2 linked regions of the Neurospora crassa OR74A genome follow. The protein of the gene in region 2 interacts with the protein of the main gene of each other region in a pairwise test. Links are inferred from orthologs where the notes say so. Each region holds a gene or a part of one and is shown on either strand. Other genes may lie near its edges. The genes, in order: NCU08878 and cdc15.

Region 1 (4,340 bases), about 3.7 Mb from region 2:
ACAACCTTACATTGTCCTCGGGTGTGATGTATCAGCCGCAAGGACGAGGATGGAATGTCTGGTAAGCCTCTGGTGTCTATGATGAGGTTCGAGTACGGTTCTCGGGGTTTGCGTATGCCTGTTCCGTTATCTACTGCGACGTCCGCAAGCGGGATTACGAGAACCACATTGGGAAGAACAACAGGTTTCGGGAAACCGATCTTGTGAGGACAGAACCTTGTAGTGTACGTCGTTTCGGTTCGCAGCCTACGTGCTCTTCCTTCTTGCAGAGGAGGAAGCTCACCTTTATGAGTTGTCCCAACCCCAGTGGCACTTTATTCAGCAGATGATTCTGGTAACGGATATATGATGTTTTGCATATACAGCCTCCGTGGCCATTTGTTTCTGGTCAAGTGGCTGGTTCTATGGTAGACCGACTGAGCACTCCATACGCCGGAAGATACATGGTGTCAGTTTTGAGGCGACACGTTGAAAAAAAATGATAGATGTCTCGGAACGTCTGCGGGGAGAGGCGGGTAGTGTTTCGTGCCATCGGCTTGGAGAGCAAGAAGAAGGCAAAGAATGTGCAGGAAAATACCGATATGTTGACTGCCAACAGGGAATTAAAACACATACTACCAAAGAATGAACATCCAGTCCCTTTCTACCTGTACCGGGGACGATGCCACGCCTGAAGGGCCAAAGGCACGCGCCCCACGTATTCCTTGCGCTCCGTATTCATAGTATAGAATACCCTTCCCCATCGTATTTCGGATTGAGATGCCCAATTTGGTATGATCGGTCCTGCGCCAGCCGTTCCTTACAACCGGACTCCAAAGACTATTATGTCTCGTTTTTATCACGACCCATGCCCATTTGCCGTCCTCCATTGTGCTTTATTTGCTAAGCCACGGACTAAATAATCACAAAATGCGATTGTCCTGATGAGTGGAGTTGCCTCGAGGGTGTTCGGGCACGGGAAAAGGGGGGAGGGGCTTCGAAGCAAATATATGCAAAGGGGACCGCGCCTCGGTATTCCGTTAATTGGGTCTCCCACGTCGCTGTCGAGTGACCGTTACAGGTACTCAACATGTGCCGTCGCTCCGACACCAGCCAGGGGTATTAATGCAAATTGCAGATCGTCGGAGGAGGCCGCTCGCACAGTTGTCGCGAAGACGGTTGACAGCGTCGAATTTACTCATCAACCTATACCGACTGGTACAAGAGAAGTGGCTCGCCAACGTTGCTAATTTCAGGAATTGTGCATTTTAGATCGAAGGCTTTGGATAGTACGATCTTGAAGATCTGCGAAACAGTCAGACCATGCACCAGTTGCGGCAAACAAAGTGTGACGTACCTTCTGGACATTGATGCTGTGACTGGTGCTGCTAAAGATCAATGCCGCACGCATGGCCTTGGCGAATCGCCGTGCCTGGAAAAGTAACGTCAGCAAGCAGGAACTTTGCCGTATACGCACAAATGACGGATCCTACCTGGTTGGAGATTTCCTCCTGCTCCTCCCGCGAAAGGTTCACAAAGTGATCGTACTTTGTGCCTACAAGGACGGGAATGGCCGTCTTGTTGAATCCTCGCCCCTGGCGGTACCATTCCTTGATGCTGTTCAACGTGCTCTTGCGGGTCAAGTCGAACATGAAGAGGATGGCTACAGCATCGTTGCACACGAGCGGCAACATATTGACGAACTCGCGTTGACCGCCAAGATCCCAGATGCTGAAGGTGATCTCGGTGTTGCGGATGCTGATGGTCTTTTCCATGAAGTTGACGCCCAGAGTCTGGATGTAGTCCTCGTCCCAACTGCCTTCGACGTATTTGACCATCAAGCTTGTCTTGCCAATCTGCGCATCACCGACCATGCCGACCTTGATCACGACATGATTGCGCCCGTTGGCTTGCTCGCTGGAACTCCCGCCGGCGGTTGTCCGCGAGCCGTTTTCTGCGGACTGGGATGGGTTCTGGCCGTCGAGCCCCGAGGGCGGTCGTGACGTTGAAGGCTGGGGTGCTGGTGGCGTGGCATATCGGTCTGAGTCGAAGTTGTCGTGTTGGGAATATGACCGTGGTGAGCTGTTGAGGTTCTGATCGAATTGCTGTTGGTAATGGCGATCTGGGAAGCCGTTTTGGTCGGGTGTTATTTGGGGTGAATCCTCCAGACCACCCATGTTGTCGTCTGGAATGTTGTTGTTGTGAGGAAGCTGAGCCTCGTTTGGGCTAATGGTTTGATCGTGATCCATCACCACGGTGTCCATGTTGCTGTTGTGGTTGTTGTTATCGAGGAACTGGTCCGGGGACCCGGCGAAGAAGGGCGATAAGTCCAGCTTGACAATGGATGAGGCCTAAGGAGGGGTAGGTAGACAGAGAGGTTCAGCCTGGGATGCTGGGTTGTCTGTGCGGGCGAGACGAAGACCAGCGGAAAGGGGTCGGACGGGAGGGATCCAGCAATCGGTTTGTCGTGGTCCGTTTGTGGTGTTTGGTGAAACCCCGTATAACGCTTTCCTCGTGGGTTCGGGCGGCAAGCGGGGGGGAGGGGCGACTGCACGAGATGGGACGAGGGGAGGGAAAAGGTTGGTCTTGGTGATTGAGACGGCGCGGTCGGATAAGTTGGCCGTTGGTTAAAAGGATGGGTATATGGCGCGTGATAGTGGTTTGTAAATGGTTGCTTGTATGTTGCTCGTTTCTTGCTTTGCTACCTGGAGACAGACAATTGTGGTTTGCCGGGTCGGCCGTGGAAGATGCAACGCAATCGGGGATCGTGCGATAAGTCGACGACTATGTAGGTATGTATGTACCTGCTGGGCACCCTGTGGGTTTGTTTCACCGAGGCTGTGGAGACTGCTGCTGACTGCGGACGGCGACGAATGGATTCCCGATGGCAGCTGAAGTGCGGGCGGAGTCGTATGTAGTGTATGTAGTGATGCTGCAGCAACGAGCTGGGGTTGGAAGATCGATGGATGGAAGTGAAGTGGGAATGGAGATGGAATATGAATGATTGATGGAAGTGGATTCAGACTGAATGCTTGCTGCTGCGAGATGCTATGCAAGGAGTCGTCGGATTGATGTTGGCGTACCTATGGCTATGTACCGACCCTCCAGAGAGGCTAGACACTCCCGCAACTGCGTGTGCAGGGCTGGCGGCGCTGACGGGCAGCAGAGTGACGATAGGTACACACGATGAAGCTAGCTGGGCACGCACGGACCAAGGGGAAGGAGCTCCAATCGAAGGGAATTGATCAGACCAAGACTCCACTTAAAGATCGCAGATTGTGGGTCCGCTAGCGCTTGGCTTGGCTGGGCTAGGCGCCTGTTTTTCGAACACTGGACTGCCCTGGGGTCCTCTCGTTGGCGTCAAGATGAGATCTCAATCCTCATGTGCGCGGCGGCGCTTGCGGCTGCTCCCTTGTCCGTTTGCCATCAAACTGTACACTAAGAAAACATTCAGCTGTGTTGACGACAAGCCCGAGCGAGCATGTGGAGATGGGTAGGCGGGCAGTGCATCCCACGTCGAACGATTTGAGTTTCCAAATTGGGCCCCGAGATATTGCTATGACAATCACGATTAAGATGAACCCCGCGCCAGAACAACATGGAAGTCCTTGACAGCTGAAGGGAGATTGGCACCCGGCAATATCAAGGCAACACAGCAGTCACGTATGTTTGAGATGATGCAGTGTGAGTGGCAGAAGGGCAAGGTGACACCGGCAGAGGGGCTTATTTCAGTTGTGTGTGGTGCACATCGGGCAACTGAACCGTTGATGAGCAAGAAAGATGGCGATAACTCCAACAAAACAATGGATGTCCACAACAAATTTCCAATATGTAAACAGAACATCCACACTCGGGCCCTTGCAGCATCTGAACCTCATCGGAAGCATCAACCTATGGCGGGCTGCATGTTGGAGCAAGCCATGGCACATCACTCCCCTTGCGCCTTTCCAACGTCTTTGCCTATTGCCCATTGAACCGACGGACTGCTCACACCCTCCCGCGCCGAGTGCCATGCTGCCTCAGCTCCTTGCCAAGGGGTGCAGTGGGCACTCAAAACAGTGGACACTCACTCCATCCATTTGCAAGTCCGGTCTGCCATGTGTTGCCCGGTGACGTGCTTTTGTTTTTCTTCAGTTGATCTTTCCCCAGATCCGGCCCGTTCCACCTTGATGGCCCGGCTATGGTTTGCTTTTTGGTGCGCTTACATAATATGGGTTGCATTCGACATCTCCCGCTGCTCGGTTCTGTGGTCTTGGCAAGCCGGCCTTGACAGCTGCTGGCCCCGAGTCTAGCCGTTTGTCGGGTGGCCGGCACTTTGTTTTCGTCATTCGATAGTACCGCGGATGTACCCCGGGTCCCGT
Region 2 (4,612 bases):
ACCCATCATCCGTCAAATGCTCTTCGTAGCTCCCATGATGATATATTCACCAATTCCCAAACACGGATACTTCTACTTCTTGTGAAGGTCTTCTAACGATCTTGGATGAAATACATGCCCTGTAAAGATATCCTGCACAATAAAAATGAGCAAAGTAACGCCTCCTTCCGTCCGTCCTCTTCCTCTTTCCCCCTTTTATTTCAGTGAGTGGTCATGATCGTTCTTTTATCCATAACACTATTTTATCTTCTTCTCCTATCATCTCTAACCGCCGAAGCAGGAACAGGATACGAATTCGTTCGACCAGACAATAATAGCCCCCGTCTGGGTTGTCTAACATGACCATGCTGAAGACCACCATCACCACCACTACTGCCAGCGCCAGAAGAACTAGGACGAACAACGCCCTCTCTACTACTACCAGAAGCGATATTGCCACCAGCAGTCTTTTTCCCGCAAGCACTAAGCGGAACTTCACTCTTCCCACCCATAATCCTGCCACCGCTACTAGTAGGTGTACTCGGCGCCGTAGACGAAGAAGTAGAAACTCCCGCCTCGCTCCCAGTCCCACGAGCACTACCAAGACGCTGCCTTTCGTTATCACCAGACTCAGAGCCATCACCAATAACAGTTGTCTGCTTACTATTCGGCAACAGAGGATGACCGTCCTACGACCACCTCATGTCCGAACTAGGTGCTCGACTTCTGCGCTTAGCGTTTCCGGCGCCCGCACTACCACCCATAACGGAGAACGATGATTCCCTCGCTCCGTAGCTGCGTGAGAACCCCTCACTTCCTCCTCCTCCACTACCTTGAAAACTGCTGGACAAGCTCACTGCACTCCCTGTCGGCGAGACCGAGTACAGCCCTCCTCCTCCGAGAATCCTCGCCTCGGGACCCGCAACTGATGATCCGGACCTTATCCGCCCGTAGTTCTCCTTGTTATGGTTACTCAGTGAACTTTCGCTTCGCTCTCGCTCACGCTCGGCACGACTGCTCGCTATGCTTGAGTTACCTATCCCCATGCCCGTCGCTGAGACCGCTCCGGGCGCCGTGGCGGCAGATGATAGACTCGGTCTAGGAGAACTATACTGCGTCATGGACATGCGGGGCAGTCGCATCCTTGAGGGCGTCCCTAGGCCACCGGCCGAGCCCATGGATGAGGACAACGAAGGAATGCCCGCTGAGGTGTCTTGGCTAACTCGGCGTGGGATATTGATCAGCGGGACGCCGCCGTCTCTGCTGTGCGGCCGATACATTGCTTCGCGCTCCTGGGCTAGGGAGATTCCGGAGCGTTTCGGCGTTGATGCTACTTCGATGTATGCGGCCGAAGACGAATGCGAGGCTCGGTGACCGTGCGTGGGTGTGGGCGGCATGGACATGCTGGCATGTAAGCCTGGCGGTGTATAACTAGTATTGCGCCGGGGGCCAGACCGCGAGCGTGGTCCAGAACTCAGGTTGTTGAGCGGATTGGGGATGGCCGAGGGCCCAGCGCCCATATTTAGTGCGCCCAAGGCTGCTACGTCGTGTTGTAGGTCGATGTCGATGTGGCTTCTAACGATCTCCGATGCCAAGTTACGCACCAATACTGCTGGATCCTTATCTGCCAGTATTTGTATATCGTCAAAGAGAACACGCAGCGCACGGCCCGCAGTCGAAGTGGCTAGGGTCGCCATGGGAGTGTTGTTGACTTCGCAGCCGTCCATGATACTGCGCACGAGACGGAGCAAGTTGAGGCGCACAACGGCCTTCTTGTGGCTCAGTTTCTGGGCGATACCAGCATACATCTCCACCTTGGCAAGTGATGCTGCCACAGAGGGACTAAGTCGTACAAGCTTCAGAAGCGGTTCGAGAAGGTTGGCGTCGAAAGCATTTGCCTTGTTAGTGTTGAAGCAAGACGTGATCGCCGTGGTAAAGTTGCCGTCGAGCAAATGGTGTTCAACCTTGGCCGTCTCCTTTTCTAGCCAGACAAAGATAGCATCCAGCGCGGTGACTTGCCAATACTGATCTGCCAAGAGCGAAACGTAGAATTCCAGCCCATTGTTCTGCCACAAATATCTTCGGCCCTTGCTGCCCGAGTGCGCCATGTCGCAGAGAATAGGGAGGACGAATTCCTTGGGCGGCCGATCAGTCTTCATGATCTTGAGCAACAGTGGAATGATACCATTGCTGGCAGCGTATTCCTGACGCTCCTTGCTGAGTCGGCATAGGTTGAACATGGTGTTGAGCACTTGATTGGAGATCTCGCGGAAATGCTGCTGCCCTCTCTTCATCGAGTTGCTCAAAACGTCGATCAAGTAGTCAATGGCATCAGCGGAATGTAATGACTCTAACGTGGTTGACAGCATGGATAAGTTTTTGATGAACTTGAGCATAGTGATTTGGTGAGCAGGTGTCATCCGCCTGAGGTCCTTTAGGACAGCTATATTGAGTGATGGTAATTAGCAACTGACCCGGCCTTATAATGATAAGGGGTACATACTTTTGAGTACAAAGCGCTCGGCAACGACTTCCTTCACATAGTTCTCAGCTTGCGAGAAGAGATAAAAAATGTTGACGATGCGAGCTTCAATCAGCTCGGACAGCTCATCCCTATCATCTTCATCCAAGACCTTGTGCAGCACTGCAGCTAATGGGTCCAAGATTTTGCTTCGCGAGAATATGCGGCAAAAGTCGTTCTTTGGGGTTGGGCCCTAGAGTGACAGTCAGCACGATTTCTTGACATCAAGACATGTGTTGAAGGACAAGGCTTACCTGAAGCTCAAAGACGTTCCAAATGCCATTCACGCCGATAAGAACAAGGTCTGGCGACATGTCATAGTCTTCATCCAGAAACTCTACCAAGACATTGAGACCGCCTGCACTGACGAACATTTGCAGCGTCAAGGTAGAAGTCTGGTACATTTGCCGAACAAAGGCTGCGGCCTCCAAGCGGATTTCGTTCGAATACTGCCGAGCAGCGAACTTGGTGATGATAGGGATACCACCAACGAAACACAAGTTCTCTTGCAGCTCGACGTCATCCAATATGATCTGCTCGCAGTCAGTATTCGGACAGCCATAGAGTTTTTTCACATATGGACACTGATATTGGCACCTACCGCATTGACGATCTTCAGCAGCTGCAAGATCATGTGCTGACGACTCTTCACTGTGCAGGGCTCCAAGATCTCCAGGATCGGTAGCAACCCATGTGCACTGATGATGAGATCCTTGACCTCGCTGTTTTCCCATAGAAGATTGAGCAAGTCTTCAGCCAGATCAGCAAGTATATCCTCACTCTCCGTCGGCTTCAAAGATTTGACCCTCTCTTCCACCTTCTCGGCCAACCTAGCATGTCTATCACGAGCAATATTGGCCTCGAGATCCATCTCATCCCAGCCTGGATCCATCATCGCAAAGGGGTCGTCTTCATCTTCGTCGTCCCCAAGCCAAGAATTGTTGGACAACTTGGAAAGGAGCATGAGTTGATGGCCATCTTCTGATCCCTCATCGCTCTTGGGCGGCTTTGTGAAGCTTTCCGGTTCGGCCCCGAAAATGTCCGAAAAGTCCTCATCACCCTCGTCTTCAGCAAACTTTGTGATCTCTACTGTCATCCTTGTCCTTCGGACGGCGGGCTTCTCAGGGGCTGATGGTGACCGCGCGGAAGCTGACTGTCTCCGCCCGCTGCTGCCATTGACAGGTGATGCCGTAGAGCGCGGTAAACTAGTGAGATCAGAAGGGTGAAATAGTTGCGGGGCGTCCTACAAAAGCAAGACGGTCAGCAAATTGGCGACAGGGATCAGGCGACAAAGAGGGAGAGAGAAGGTTTACCTTGACAGCAACATTAAGCCGGCTACTGAAGACAGAGTCCGTATCGCCAAAGAGATCAGAGTAATCCTCGGTAGACTGCTCACGATAGATTGATTCAGGACGGGGTGGAAGTTCAAACTTGTTTCCGAACTGCGTCCTCACAGGCGACTTAGTCTGGGAGGCGCTTGAAATCGTGGTTTTGCTGCTCCTTTGCCGCCTATGTCCTTGCTGAGAAGACTTGGAATCGGACACCCTATCTGACCGTTTCGGCAAGGGACGAATCGTCTGCTCAAATTCTCCGCCAAAGTCTTCGTCCCAATTCTCCGTATCTTCCCGCGAGCTGTCAATGGACGCAAACGCTTTGAGCCGATCGCTGGAAAGTAGTCCTCCAAAATTATCCTGGCCTTTGATGTGAGGGAGGTGAAGCGCACTAGGTGAAATTGCAGTGGCAAAGTCATTGTCCCAGTTATCATCATCTGTCACAATCTGTCAGCTAGAACTTTCACGTCCTGATTTTTTGATACTCACCAGCTTCTACCGCAGGAGACCTAAAGACCTCTGCATTCGCCTTCGGCTTCGCTTGCTGTGGGGGCACCTTTGTCGAAATAGAGAGATTTGGACGATGTTGGCCAGAAGCATTTCTATTCTGCGTGGAAGGATTTCCGTGATCTGAACCAATCGATGTTCTAGGGGTGGCTTCCGATGACTTGAGCGCCTTGTTCCACTGCTTGACTTCCTCGACGGCCTGAATAAAGTTCGATGGTGCTTTCGATATCGGCGCATCACTCCTCCGGCAGCCTTGAATCCACGAATGTCTTAA

Evidence for each region.
Region 1: the proteins of cdc15 (region 2) and NCU08878 interact in a two-hybrid assay, tested with the Schizosaccharomyces pombe proteins (3 studies listed by BioGRID). The link is inferred for Neurospora crassa OR74A from reciprocal best matches to the Schizosaccharomyces pombe genes cdc7 and spg1.

What each region holds. Positions count from the first base shown.
Region 1 is NC_026505.1:35,074-39,413, forward strand, and holds the start of NCU08878 (TEM1), read right to left. Parts: upstream 3,090-4,340; 5' UTR 2,244-3,089; coding exon 1,473-2,243; intron 1,412-1,472; coding exon 1,337-1,411; intron 1,285-1,336; coding exon 1,186-1,284; 3' UTR 1-1,185. UniProt on the Schizosaccharomyces pombe protein: GTP-binding protein essential for the induction of septum formation at G2 and pre-START stages of mitosis. Acts via the cdc7 protein kinase pathway.
Region 2 is NC_026505.1:3,692,725-3,697,336, forward strand, and holds the end of cdc15 (cell division control protein 15), read right to left. Parts: coding exon 4,321-4,612; intron 4,269-4,320; coding exon 3,814-4,268; intron 3,744-3,813; coding exon 3,102-3,743; intron 3,034-3,101; coding exon 2,755-3,033; intron 2,694-2,754; coding exon 2,483-2,693; intron 2,423-2,482; coding exon 669-2,422; 3' UTR 29-668; downstream 1-28. UniProt on the Schizosaccharomyces pombe protein: Protein kinase essential for cell division. Plays a key role in initiation of septum formation and cytokinesis.